Cricetulus griseus: one gene and its partners. The main gene of each other region encodes a partner of the protein of the gene in region 2 in a complex. Links are inferred from orthologs where the notes say so. Each region holds a gene or a part of one and is shown on either strand. Other genes may lie near its edges. The genes, in order: coiled-coil domain-containing protein 8-like, obscurin-like protein 1 and Myom1.

Region 1 (3,746 bases), on a different chromosome or scaffold from region 2:
ATGTGGGTGCTGGGAACCAAATCCAGCTCTTTTTCAAGAGCACCAAGGGCTCTTAGTCACTGAGTCACCTCTCCAGCCCCTGGGGTTGTTATTTGAGACAGGGTCTCTTGTAGCCCAGGCTGGCTTTGAACTCTCTTTGTAACTGAGAATGACCTTAGTCTCTTCATCCTCCAAGTACTGGGATCACAAGTGTGCACTCCATGTCTGGTAGATGTTTTTATATTGGTATTAAATTAATTGTTATATGTTGATATTAACCCTTTTAAAAAGGATGTATTTATTTTTATGTTCATTGCTGTTTTGCCTGCATGTATTCCTGTGCAAGGGTGTTGGGTCCCTGGGAACTGGGGTTACAGACAGTTGTGAGCTGCCACATGGGTGCTGGGAATTGAACCCGCATCCTCTGGAAGAGTGGTCAGCATTCTTAACCACTGAGCCATCTCTCCAACCCCTAAAGTCACTTCTTTACTTAATTTTTGTTGTTGTTGAAAACATTGTCTTTCATCCTGGCATGGTAGCCCATGCACGCCCAGAAGACCAGTAGTCAGAGTATGAGGCAGGAGGATCACTGTAAGTTTGAGGTCACGTGGGATACATAGTAAATTAAGAACTAAGGTACCACAATATCTCTTTGATCTTAAAAGATTTTTTAAAGAAAATATTGTATTTTAAAATTTTATCATTGTGTATATATTTGCATATGTTTAATCTATGCGTGTGGAGATTGGACAACCTTCTTTTTTTAAAAAAAAAAAGATTCATTTATTTATTATGAATACAACATTCTGCTTCCATGTCTATCTGCACACCAGAAGAGGGTACCATTATCTCATAATGGATGGTTGTGAGCCACCATATGGTTGCTGGGAATTGAACTCAGGACCTCTGGAAGAGCAGCCAGTGCTCTTAACCTCTGAGCTATCTCTCCAGCCCTGGGACAACGATTTGTGGAGTTGGTTTTATGTGGGTTCTGGGGATTGAATTCAGGTCATCAGGCTTGCATGGCAAATGTTTTTACCCACTGAGTTATCTTGTGGGTCCCTTTTTTATGTGCATGAATGTCTTGCCTGCGGCTATGTATGTGCATTAGTGCCCACAGAGATCAGAAGGGGGTGTTGGATCCCCTGGGCCTGGAGTAACAGAGGATTAGGAGCCATCACGTGGGTCCTGGGACTCAACGCAAGGCCTCTGCAAGAGCAGCCCAGGCTCTTAACCATTGAGCCATCTCTCTGGTCCCATCCCGGTAAGTCCACTGGCCTTAGCCTTGCACGTCGAGTATGGCAGGTTGGAGACCCGCTGCCTTTCGGGGGCGGGGGTTGGGGGGGAGGAGGACATGATGACGTGGGTTTTGGAAGCTGAGATGGGAAGCCGTGGCCCCAGCGAGGCCCTAGGGGGCGGCCACACCTCTGTGGGGAGGAGAGGGAGGTTGCCCTGAAGGGAGTGGACAGCTCCGCTGCCAGTCTTCCCAGGCTGAGAGTGTAAGATGAGAAGAAGGTGGGCCTCACCCAGGAGGGGAGGGCGCCCAGAAACTTCCTGCCACTCTCAGCTCCACCGCAGACAGACAGCAAGCAAGGTCAGCCTGGAGCGGGTGGCTGCCTTCCTGGGGGCGGGAGACCCTCCTCGGTGCTGGGCGGAGGCCTTGAAGCTCCTCGCCATATTGAACGGCCACCACGCTGAGCCGCCTTTGTTTGCAGAGTCCTCCCACAAACTTTCAGCTGCACCCCGGGGTGTCGGGGCCAAGGGAGAAGCGATCAGAGATCAGAGCCCGTGCGTTCCCAGCTTGGAGCGGGGACGCTGGCGATTCCAGTTTGGACCGAGCTTTGAGCCTCGGGACTGACCTCACCTCTCTCTTCCCGTAAGCACCCTGGAAAATTGCTCGCTACAACTCCGAGGGGTGAGAGAAACCCAACTTGGACTCATCGCCTGCGGAGCAAACTGCGGGGAGGTGACACTCTGCGTGAGCAGAGAGTTGCTGGAACCCTCTCTGCCCTCTCCCCAAGACTAGAAGCAAGTTTTTTGTTTGTTTGTTTGGGCTTCTTGCCCCCCCGCCCCAGAGTCCACTCTGGAGATCTTAAAGACTCTCGAGAAAAGCCACGTGGGGGGATGGTTCCCCTGGGGCTTCCTCCCCTCCCCCGATTGCCTGATCCTCTGGAGTGTCCCTGATGTCTGCAAAGATGTCGATCTGGACGTGTTGGTGGAGGCCTTAAGGCCCGTGGGCACCTTTAAGAAGATCGGGAAGGTGTTCCGCAAAGAGGAGGACTCCACGGTGGGAATGTTGCAGATTGGGGAGGATGTTGACTATCTGCTCATCCCCCGGGAGGTCCGGCTGGCTGGGGGCGTGTGGAGGGTCATCTCCAAGCCCGCCACCAAGGAAGCTGTGTTTCGCGAGCGGCTGATGCAGTTTCTGCAGGAGGAGGGCCGCACCCTGGAAGACGTGGCCCGAATCATCGAAAAGAGTACTCCACACCCACCCCAGCCCCGCAAGAGAGCCAAGGAGCCCCGAGTGAGGGCAATCCCCCAGATGGTCACTCCTCCACTCCGGCTGATTGTAGGCACCTATGACAGCAGCAACGCCAGCGACAGCGAGTTGAGTGACTTGGAGACCTCCAAAGTCAAAGGCAACAGGGGCTCCCAGAGGACCAGAAAGGTGCGCAAAATGCCGGTCAGTTACTTGGGCAGCAAATTCCTGGGCAGCGACGTGGAGAGCGAGGATGATCAGGAGCTGGTGGAGGCCTTCCTCCGCCGGGGAGAGAAGAAGCCCGGCCTGCCTCCTCCACGACGCCGAGTCAATCTGCCAGTGCCCATGTTTGAGAACAACCTGGGTCCCAGGCCATCCAAGGCGGACAGATGGCGGGAGTATGTCAGTCAGGTGTCCTGGGGGAAGCTGAAACAGAGGGTAAAGGGCTGGGCACCCAGGTCAGGCTCCGAGGTGGGCGAGGCCCAGCAGGCCTCCATGGCAGCTGAGAGGGCTGGAGGACTGAGACACAGCCTCACCAGGGGGGACGATGGCTCCAGAAACTCGGAGGATGGGAGCGACCAGACACAGGGTACCAGCTGCTGGAATCCCAAATTCAAGTGGGTCTCCTTGAGGCGGTCCAGGAAGGAGCAGGCGGCGCCACTCCCAGCTCAGGGCACAGGCATGCCAGCCCAGGGGCCCCCAGAGGCTGCAGAGATCCAGGGGGCAGAGGCTCCAGCTAATCCGAGGGCAGGGGCTGCAGCTAATCCGAGGGCAGGGGCTGCAGCTAATCCGAGGGCAGGGGCTGCAGCCAATCGGAGGGCAGGGGCTGCAGCCAATCGGAGGGCAGGGGCTGCAGCCAATTCGAGGGCAGAGGCTGCAGCTAATCCGAGGGCAGGGGCTGCAGCCAATCGGAGGGCAGGGGCTGCAGCCAATCGGAGGGCAGGGGCTGCAGCCAATCCGAGGGCAGAGGCTGCAGCTAATCCGAGGGCAGGGGCTGCAGCCAATCGGAGGGCAGGGGCTGCAGCCAATCGGAGGGCAGAGGCTGCAGCTAATCCAAGGGCAGAGGCTGCAGCTGATCCGAGGGCAGGGGCTGCAGCCAATCGGAGGGTAGGAGCTCCAGCTAATCCGAGGGCAGGGGCTGCAGCTAATCCGAGGGCAGAGGCTATAGCTAATCCGAGGGCAGAGGCTGCAGCTAATCCGAGGGCAGAGGCTGCAGCTAATCCGAGGGCAGAGGCTGCAGCTAATCCGAGGGCAGAGGCTATAGCTAATCCGAGGGCAGAGGCTGCAG
Region 2 (2,966 bases):
AAAGGGAAGATGAGGATCAGTCCAACCCTACCAGGGGAACGCAACGAAACCCCTGGTGAGCCTCTAGACAGGTTGGCATGCACAGAGGACACCGCCACCTTCCAGGGCCGTGGCCTCCAGAGTCTTGCTGGGCTCAGTCTAACCGACTACAAATCCCCGCCCTAATTAGGATGGGCAGGCACTCTCTCCGAGCCCGCGGCTCCGACTCCAGGCTCTCGGAGCGCGCCGCCTTCTGCTGCTGCGGCGCTGCAATTCCTCGGACGCTGGGACCTACAGCTGCGTTGTGGGAACGGCCCGCTCCGGGCCTGCGCGCCTGACAGTGCGCGGTGGGTACCCAGGGGTGCCCGGGCTGGGTACTACTTTAGGCGCTTAGACTGCGGAAGAGTGTTTCCCCGACAGTTTACTCACTTCTAGTAAGGGGGCGTGGTGGGGGTGTGTCCTGGCTGTGTGCCCCGCCCCCGCCTCACGCCCACGGCTCCGCCCCAGAGCGCGAGGTGTCTGTGCTCCGTGAGCTCCGGTCCGTTAGCGCCCGAGAAGGAGATAGCGCCACGTTCGAGTGCACTGTGTCAGAGACCGAGACCACCGGACGCTGGGAGCTCGGAGGCCGCGTCCTGAGACCCGGAGGCCGCGTCCGCATCCGACAGGAAGGTCTGGTCGCTTTCCTACCCTCTGTGACCCCTTGTTACCTTGCCCAGGGTGCAGGCAGACTCCGCCCCTTTAGGATTAGCCCCGCCTCTAGCCCGAGCAGCTCCGCCCCACGGCCCCACTGCCAGGGTCTCCCGGACTTTCCTCCGCCGTGTCCAGTCTAGCTCCTTTTCGCTTCCTATCTGCAATTGCGCGCACCGACTCTTCGGAGCCCCCCTGGGACCTGCTCGGGTCGTTCTCGAATCCTCCCGGGAAGCGGCTGAGGCCTCGCTACCTTCCCCTCCCCCCCCCCAGGGAAGAAACACATTCTGGTGCTGAGCGAGCTGCGAGCCGAGGACACCGGTGAAGTCTGCTTCCAGGCGGGACCCGCCCAGTCTTTGGCTCGACTGGAGGTGGAGGGTAAGCTTCTGAGGCGAAGGCGACAGGGAAGGGCATCATCACCGGTCCTGGGACTGACTGACTGGCCGCTGGTCCTAGAGATGCTGCTTCCTTCATCTCTCCTCTTCGAGGGGGCTCTCTTGGGGCAGGTCACAGAGGGCAGCTCATTTCCTCAAGAGGAGATGGAGAGGAAGAGACTTTGAGCCATGCATGCAGGGAAACCGACTATGGCACGGAGGGCTTGTGCCAGGAGTGGATGGAGGTCGTAGGCAGAGAAGATGCACCTGTCCCCTAGGGGCCGTGCGTGTCCTTATTAAGCTCCTGTCCCCCCAACCGCAGCGTTGCCTCTCCAGATGTGCCGCCGCCCACCTCGCGAGAAGACGGTTCTGGCTGGCCGCAGGGCGGTGTTGGAGGTGACTGTGTCCCGCCCTGGAGGCCACGTGTGTTGGTTGCGGGAGGGGATCGAATTGTGTCCGGGAAGCAAGTATGAGATGCGCAGCCACGGCCCCACCCACAGCCTGGTCATCCATGATGTCCGACCTGAGGACCAGGGCACCTACAGCTGCCAGGCGGGCCAGGACAGTGCCGACACACAGCTGCTAGTAGAGGGTGAGTAAAGCCCACTGGGCAGAGTCACCCGAACAGGAGGCTAACCAGGCAGGGGTGCCACCCTATGGGGGAAAGACCCTTGGCAGTAGGTTCTGGTGCATGTGGGGAACGGGGGAGGGACCGGAGAGATTACACCCAAGGCTGAAGAAGAGAGGGAGCCCCGAGTCTCAAGAGAACTTTCTCTGACCTTCCTAGGACCCTTCCTGCTAGGGCTTCTTACTTCCTCTGCTTCTGGTTCATGCTTGTCTCCCCAGAAGACCCCATTGCTACCAGTATCTGTAGCAATGTGCCTCACTACCCACCAGTACCGGCTGGTACCTGACCTCCACCCCCTCCTGCCCGTTGTCCTGCAGGCTTCTGCTCTCTTAAGTGGGTTCAACAGCAGCCTGGGCAGCAACTTCCTTTCTTTCCTCTTTCACATAGGAGGTGCCCACTCTACCCCAAATCTTTGCATATCTTTCACATTTTTCTGTGTGCTCCACCCTTCCTGCCCCCACTTCTTTGGCCCCATAGACACCCTGACAGAGGCTCTGAGAGGGTAGGACCCTGCTCTTTCCCTCGTGGGTATCTAGGCTCTGCCAGGGGGAAGAAATGGGTTTTACCCTAGTCTCCCTGCCACCAGTCTACATGCAGCCACCCCTCTACAGGTGATTAGAGGACTGACCCAGACCAAGCGGGTACCCTCGGACAGTTTGGAAGGAGATGTACCCTTATACTGGGCATGATGGAAAGGAAGGAGCCAGAGAGAATCAGGAAACAATAATAAAAAAAAAAAGCTACCATTCATGCCCACGCCTGTCTGTACACCAGGGAGGGCAGGCCGTGCTTGGAGCCCCTGTAGTCAGTGACATAGCTCTGAGGTTGCAGTGCTACCAACTTGGTTGATGGAAGTACCGGTCGGTTACTGAAGACATCTGGCAGAGGCCAAATAGTTTGGCACATTTATAAAAGATGTTAAATAGGGTGGGAGGGGATAGAAGCACGAGGTGTCCAGGGTGGCATGGCAGACTCCAGACATGCACCGTGCATTTAAGCCCTTCTCCCTCCCCCCTCCTCCCAAACCCAACCCAGAACAACACTCCCCACTCCATCCCCTGTCACTGCCCTTCAGGCTGGTGGCTTTGCAGAGGCCAGGGGACCAGAGTGAAGGGTGCTGCCATTAGCTCCATGGACAATGACAGGAACCCTTAGATGGCTGCAAGTCAGAGCAATAGGGGAAGCAGGCAGGCCTCCTCCATACAGACATGCAGGAGAGTGGCCCATGGGACCCCAGCAGTGGGACAGGAGGCAGGCTGGCCCTGAAGAAGCCCTGCCCATCAGAAATCTAAGGCAAG
Region 3 (3,746 bases), about 31 Mb from region 2:
GCGGCCCGGCAGTCGCCCAGGCGCCAGCCAGCGAGCTAAGCAACATTTTCCAAGCTCCGAGTCTGGCACACAGAGCAAAGCCGGCTGCCCCGGCTGGCGAGCCCACAGCCAGCCGCCCGCTGGGGCTCGCACACCTGCCCAGGTGCGCTCCCCATTCCGCTCCGGCCGCGCGGCTCCGGCGGCGCTCCCCGCGGGGACACCCTCTCGGGCCGGGCCGGGCCGGGCCACGCACGCCCCGCGGCCAGCCCCACTCACCCTGCTCAGCCGCGGGAACCGAGGCCGTCACTGCGAAGCTCCACCGGCCGCTCGCAACCGACCTCAGCCCCTATATCTATCCAGAAGCCCCGAGGACAGCCACTTCCGGTCTCCGCCAGCAAACCGGAAGGAAGCCTAGCCGCCATTGTCCACCGCCTCCGTGGGCCAGCGCCGACCACGGGGGGCGGGGAGACGGGGAGGAGACGGCAGGGAAGATGCCCGAGCGGCCGGCGGGCGCAGGGCGCCGAGGCGGGAGAACAGAGCGGGGAGCTCGGGACGCAAAGGATCCTCGTGCAGAGGGTCTCTCGCCGTCATCGCCGACCCCGCGCCTCTTTCGGGGTTGCGGCTGCGCTCCCCCTCCTCCCCGCGGATGGTTGCGTCCATCCCGGGCTTTTCCTGAGCCCGCCCGCCCGCATTCCAGAGCCCCCGGGCAGAGGCGGGGACCCCGGGTCCCAGTCCATGTAGGGAAGTGGCGGCGAGAGGGGCGGGGCTGCGGGCCTCACGTGACCGCCTCGGCCCCGCCCCCGGCCGCGGGAATGCGCCCGTGCGGAAGTTTGTGTGTGTGACTCAGGAGTCTAGGTCAGCTGCCCCCTCAGGGCCCGGGCGGCGCGCCGGGAGGGCGGGCGGGCGTGTGCGAGCGCTGTGAGAGGCGGCCACGGCGTGTCCTTATATGGAGAGCCTGGCTCTCCCGACGTGGGAGGAAACTCCCTTTGGTCCAGGTAGAGTTCATGGATGCAAACAGCCTGAAAGTAGCCATCGCTCCCTCTTCTCCCTGAAAGTAGCCAATGCTCCCTCCTCTTCTCCCTGAAAGTAGCCATTATTGCTCCCTCTTCCCAAAAAACATTCCCTGGAACTTCCTCCTCCCAGAGCCCCCTCTGACCCTGGTGGTGACTCCTGCTCCACACGTCCATCGCTCCAGGGCGACTTGGTGAAATAGGGCTAAAGTGCTGCTGGACCTTGCGTTGAGTCAGCCGCCAGCAGTAATTCTTCTTAAAAGCGAAGGGAAAGCTCGACAGATTCGTTTCGCCCCTGCCGGGAATCCTGCCAAGGCCGGGGTGTCTGTTGTTGGTGGTCACTCTCGGGTCCAGAAACAAATGACGACCCTGGCGGGAACAGAGCGGTTCTAGAGTTCCATATCCATCCTCAAGGCTCCGGCGCTTGACAGACCAGATGTTTTGTTTTGTTTTTTTCTCCTCTTTTTAAAATTTAAGTTAGAAACCATCTTGTTTTACATGTCAATCCCAGTTCCCTCTCCCTCCCCAACCAGATGTTTTCTTCAAGGAACTCTCCTAACCCTAACCCTGATGTAGTTTAAAGTTAACTCAGAGGTAAAGTCACTGAAGAAAAAAAAAAATAAATTGCCCTAATCCTATAGGTGACAAAATTTCCCTCCTTTTTTGATACTATGAAGCACTTGCAGTGCTAACTAAAAATACAATTAACTGGGTAATTCATCTCCAGCTCTCTGAATCAAGGTCTTCAAGAGCAGGTTCTGGAAAGTCAAGGACTTAGGAGTCCAACATGAGTTTTTGGGAAGGTCTGGGACACAGCTGGTGGCAGGCCGAGACAGTACAAACTCAGAGAGCTGAGGAGTCAGACAACAGTGGATCTTTGCAGCACACTAACACCTCCATGGAGTAATGGCCTGTCACACTGGGAGGCGCAGACATTCTGGGCTGGCTGTCCTGCAGGGGAAAATCAAAACCCCTTTAGATGCAGCCCAGTTTCCCCTTCAACTGGAAAACAGTGGAGTTGTTGCTTCTCTAGGAATTCTCATTGTGTCCTCAAATTGTTAGACCCCCAAAAACTCAAGTATCTGGGGTCCCAGGCCACGTTCGCGGTCACCCCAATCACCAGGCGGATTCGAGAGCTTGCTACAAACTGCACGAGGCTTTATTGTAATTTAACAAGCTAACCCCATGTTAGCTCGGGTCTTTCAACCACCTGCCATGGCGGATGGCTAGAAAAGACAGTTTGAAGCTGCTGCGCACAGATCTTTATAAGGCAGCGTAAGGGGAGTGTCTAGGGATACGCACAGGCTCATGATTGGTGTGCTTCCAGGCTTGGAGGGCTTGCCCTGTGTTGATTGGTCAACTGGTTGTTATGGCCCATAGGCCCTCCCAGGGCGGTTGCTATGCTCTCTACGTCATTGCTGTGTGCTAGTCCTTAAAGCACACCCAGGGTCGTAAAGCATAGCGCCACCAGCTAACTTTCGATTGGTTCCTTGTCACGAGACAGGCATCTGACTTTCTAGTGACTAACTTCTGATGGATTCCTTGTCACGAGACAGGCATCTGACCTCTAAGTGACCAAGGCAGGTTTATGGCAAGCACGTGTTCGACTGTTATGGCTGCGGAAAGGGAAGCTGGTCCCTTCAAAATCAGCCAATAGCTATTAAACTTGTGAACACTGTGATAGGGGCTATGGTTTGCTCATTTTAAAAATGAACAGTTGGGACCTCTGGGGTTGGGTTGTGCTATGGAACAGAAAGGGTGGAGAATTACAGCGACAAATATGAAACAGTGTAGCATGAATTCTCTTTGGTCTTAATAAATAAAAACTTGGAGTCAGTTATTGGGGGGTGAAAGCTGAAGGATCAGAGAAGCAGAGCATCCATTAGAGTTCTTACCTCTACCAATGCTCAAACCAAAGGGAGCTATCCTGTCCTCAGACTGCCTCCTCAGACTGCTTCCCTGCCTTATATCTCCACCTCCTTAGTGCTGGGATTAAAGGTGTGCAGCACCACTTGGCTCTCTGTCTCTTTCAGACTGGATCAATTTCATGTAGCCCAGGGTGGCCTTGAACTCTCAACGATCCCTCTGCCTCTGTCTCCCTAGTGCTGGCCTCTATGGCTAACTAGTATGGCTAGCTCTGCACTCAGATCTTCAGGCAAGCTTTATTTGTTAGATCACAAACAAAATATCACCACAGAACAGGTTATAGAAGGACAAATAAACCCTCCTAGGGACTAGTGGAAGATGTCCCCAGAGGGCAATTCTAGGGTGCTGATTCTAGGGGTTAGTGGAGGAAAGGAGAGAGGCATGTCAGGTCTGGGGGCCGGGGTAGACAAAGAACCTGGCTGATTGGAAGTTGGGTTCTGTTCACCTTTTATCCATGTCTGCAGAACTATGGATATACCAAGTCAATGTGGAGAAATCAGCTTAAGTCTTACTACTCTATCTACTGTTCTGACATGAAAGTTTAGTGATCAGACCCTCTACCAAAGGCCTCTGACTCTGTGTGATGTTCCTGTTCTTTTGGAACTTAGAAGAGGTCTTCCAAATACAGCCGGTGAGAACCTTCTCACTACCAGTTTGACAATCTGCGTTCTGCTTCATATCTTTCCTTTAGCATAACTCTGAGAACAAGTCCCTTGATTGACCTCAATTTTCTAATATCTCTCAGCTGACCTTACAGGGCTTTCTGATTAAATGAGGTCATTTATAAACTTATTTTCCTTAAAGATTTTAGTTTGTGCCTATGGATGTTTT

What was found.
Region 1: obscurin-like protein 1 (region 2) and coiled-coil domain-containing protein 8-like share a complex: the UniProt entries of both Homo sapiens proteins name them as parts of the 3M complex. The link is inferred for Cricetulus griseus from reciprocal best matches to the Homo sapiens genes OBSL1 and CCDC8.
Region 3: the proteins of obscurin-like protein 1 (region 2) and Myom1 are in contact, whole or in part, in a crystal structure (PDB 5FM5), measured with the Homo sapiens proteins. The link is inferred for Cricetulus griseus from reciprocal best matches to the Homo sapiens genes OBSL1 and MYOM1. Residues at the interface, in NP_056126.1 of Homo sapiens: Pro243, Lys253, Phe255, Val257, Asn258, Gly260, Lys261, His262, Ala263, Lys264, Phe265, Arg266, Cys267, Tyr268, Val269, Met270, Gly271, Lys272, Pro273, Pro275, Trp279, Lys305, Tyr308, Tyr317, Cys319, Ala321, Arg322, Asn323, Ser324, Ala325; in NP_003794.3 of Homo sapiens: Arg616, Pro617, Ser618, Ala619, Pro620, Trp621, Thr622, Gly623, Gln624, Ile625, Ile626, Val627, Thr628, Glu629, Glu630, Glu631, Pro632.

What each region holds. Positions count from the first base shown.
Region 1 is NC_048602.1:11,621,420-11,625,165, forward strand, and holds the start of coiled-coil domain-containing protein 8-like, read left to right. Parts: upstream 1-1,478; 5' UTR 1,479-2,272; coding exon 2,273-3,746. UniProt on the Homo sapiens protein: Core component of the 3M complex, a complex required to regulate microtubule dynamics and genome integrity. It is unclear how the 3M complex regulates microtubules, it could act by controlling the level of a microtubule stabilizer.
Region 2 is NC_048595.1:428,628,835-428,631,800, reverse strand, and holds the end of obscurin-like protein 1, read left to right. Parts: coding exon of another isoform or gene 1-55; intron 56-169; coding exon 170-326; intron 327-486; coding exon 487-648; intron 649-939; coding exon 940-1,044; intron 1,045-1,362; coding exon 1,363-1,632; coding exon of another isoform or gene 1,633-1,640; intron 1,641-2,279; coding exon 2,280-2,287; 3' UTR 2,288-2,418; downstream 2,419-2,966. UniProt on the Homo sapiens protein: Core component of the 3M complex, a complex required to regulate microtubule dynamics and genome integrity. It is unclear how the 3M complex regulates microtubules, it could act by controlling the level of a microtubule stabilizer.
Region 3 is NC_048595.1:459,501,447-459,505,192, forward strand, and holds the start of Myom1 (myomesin-1), read left to right. Parts: upstream 1-876; 5' UTR 877-974; intron 975-3,746. UniProt on the Homo sapiens protein: Major component of the vertebrate myofibrillar M band. Binds myosin, titin, and light meromyosin. This binding is dose dependent.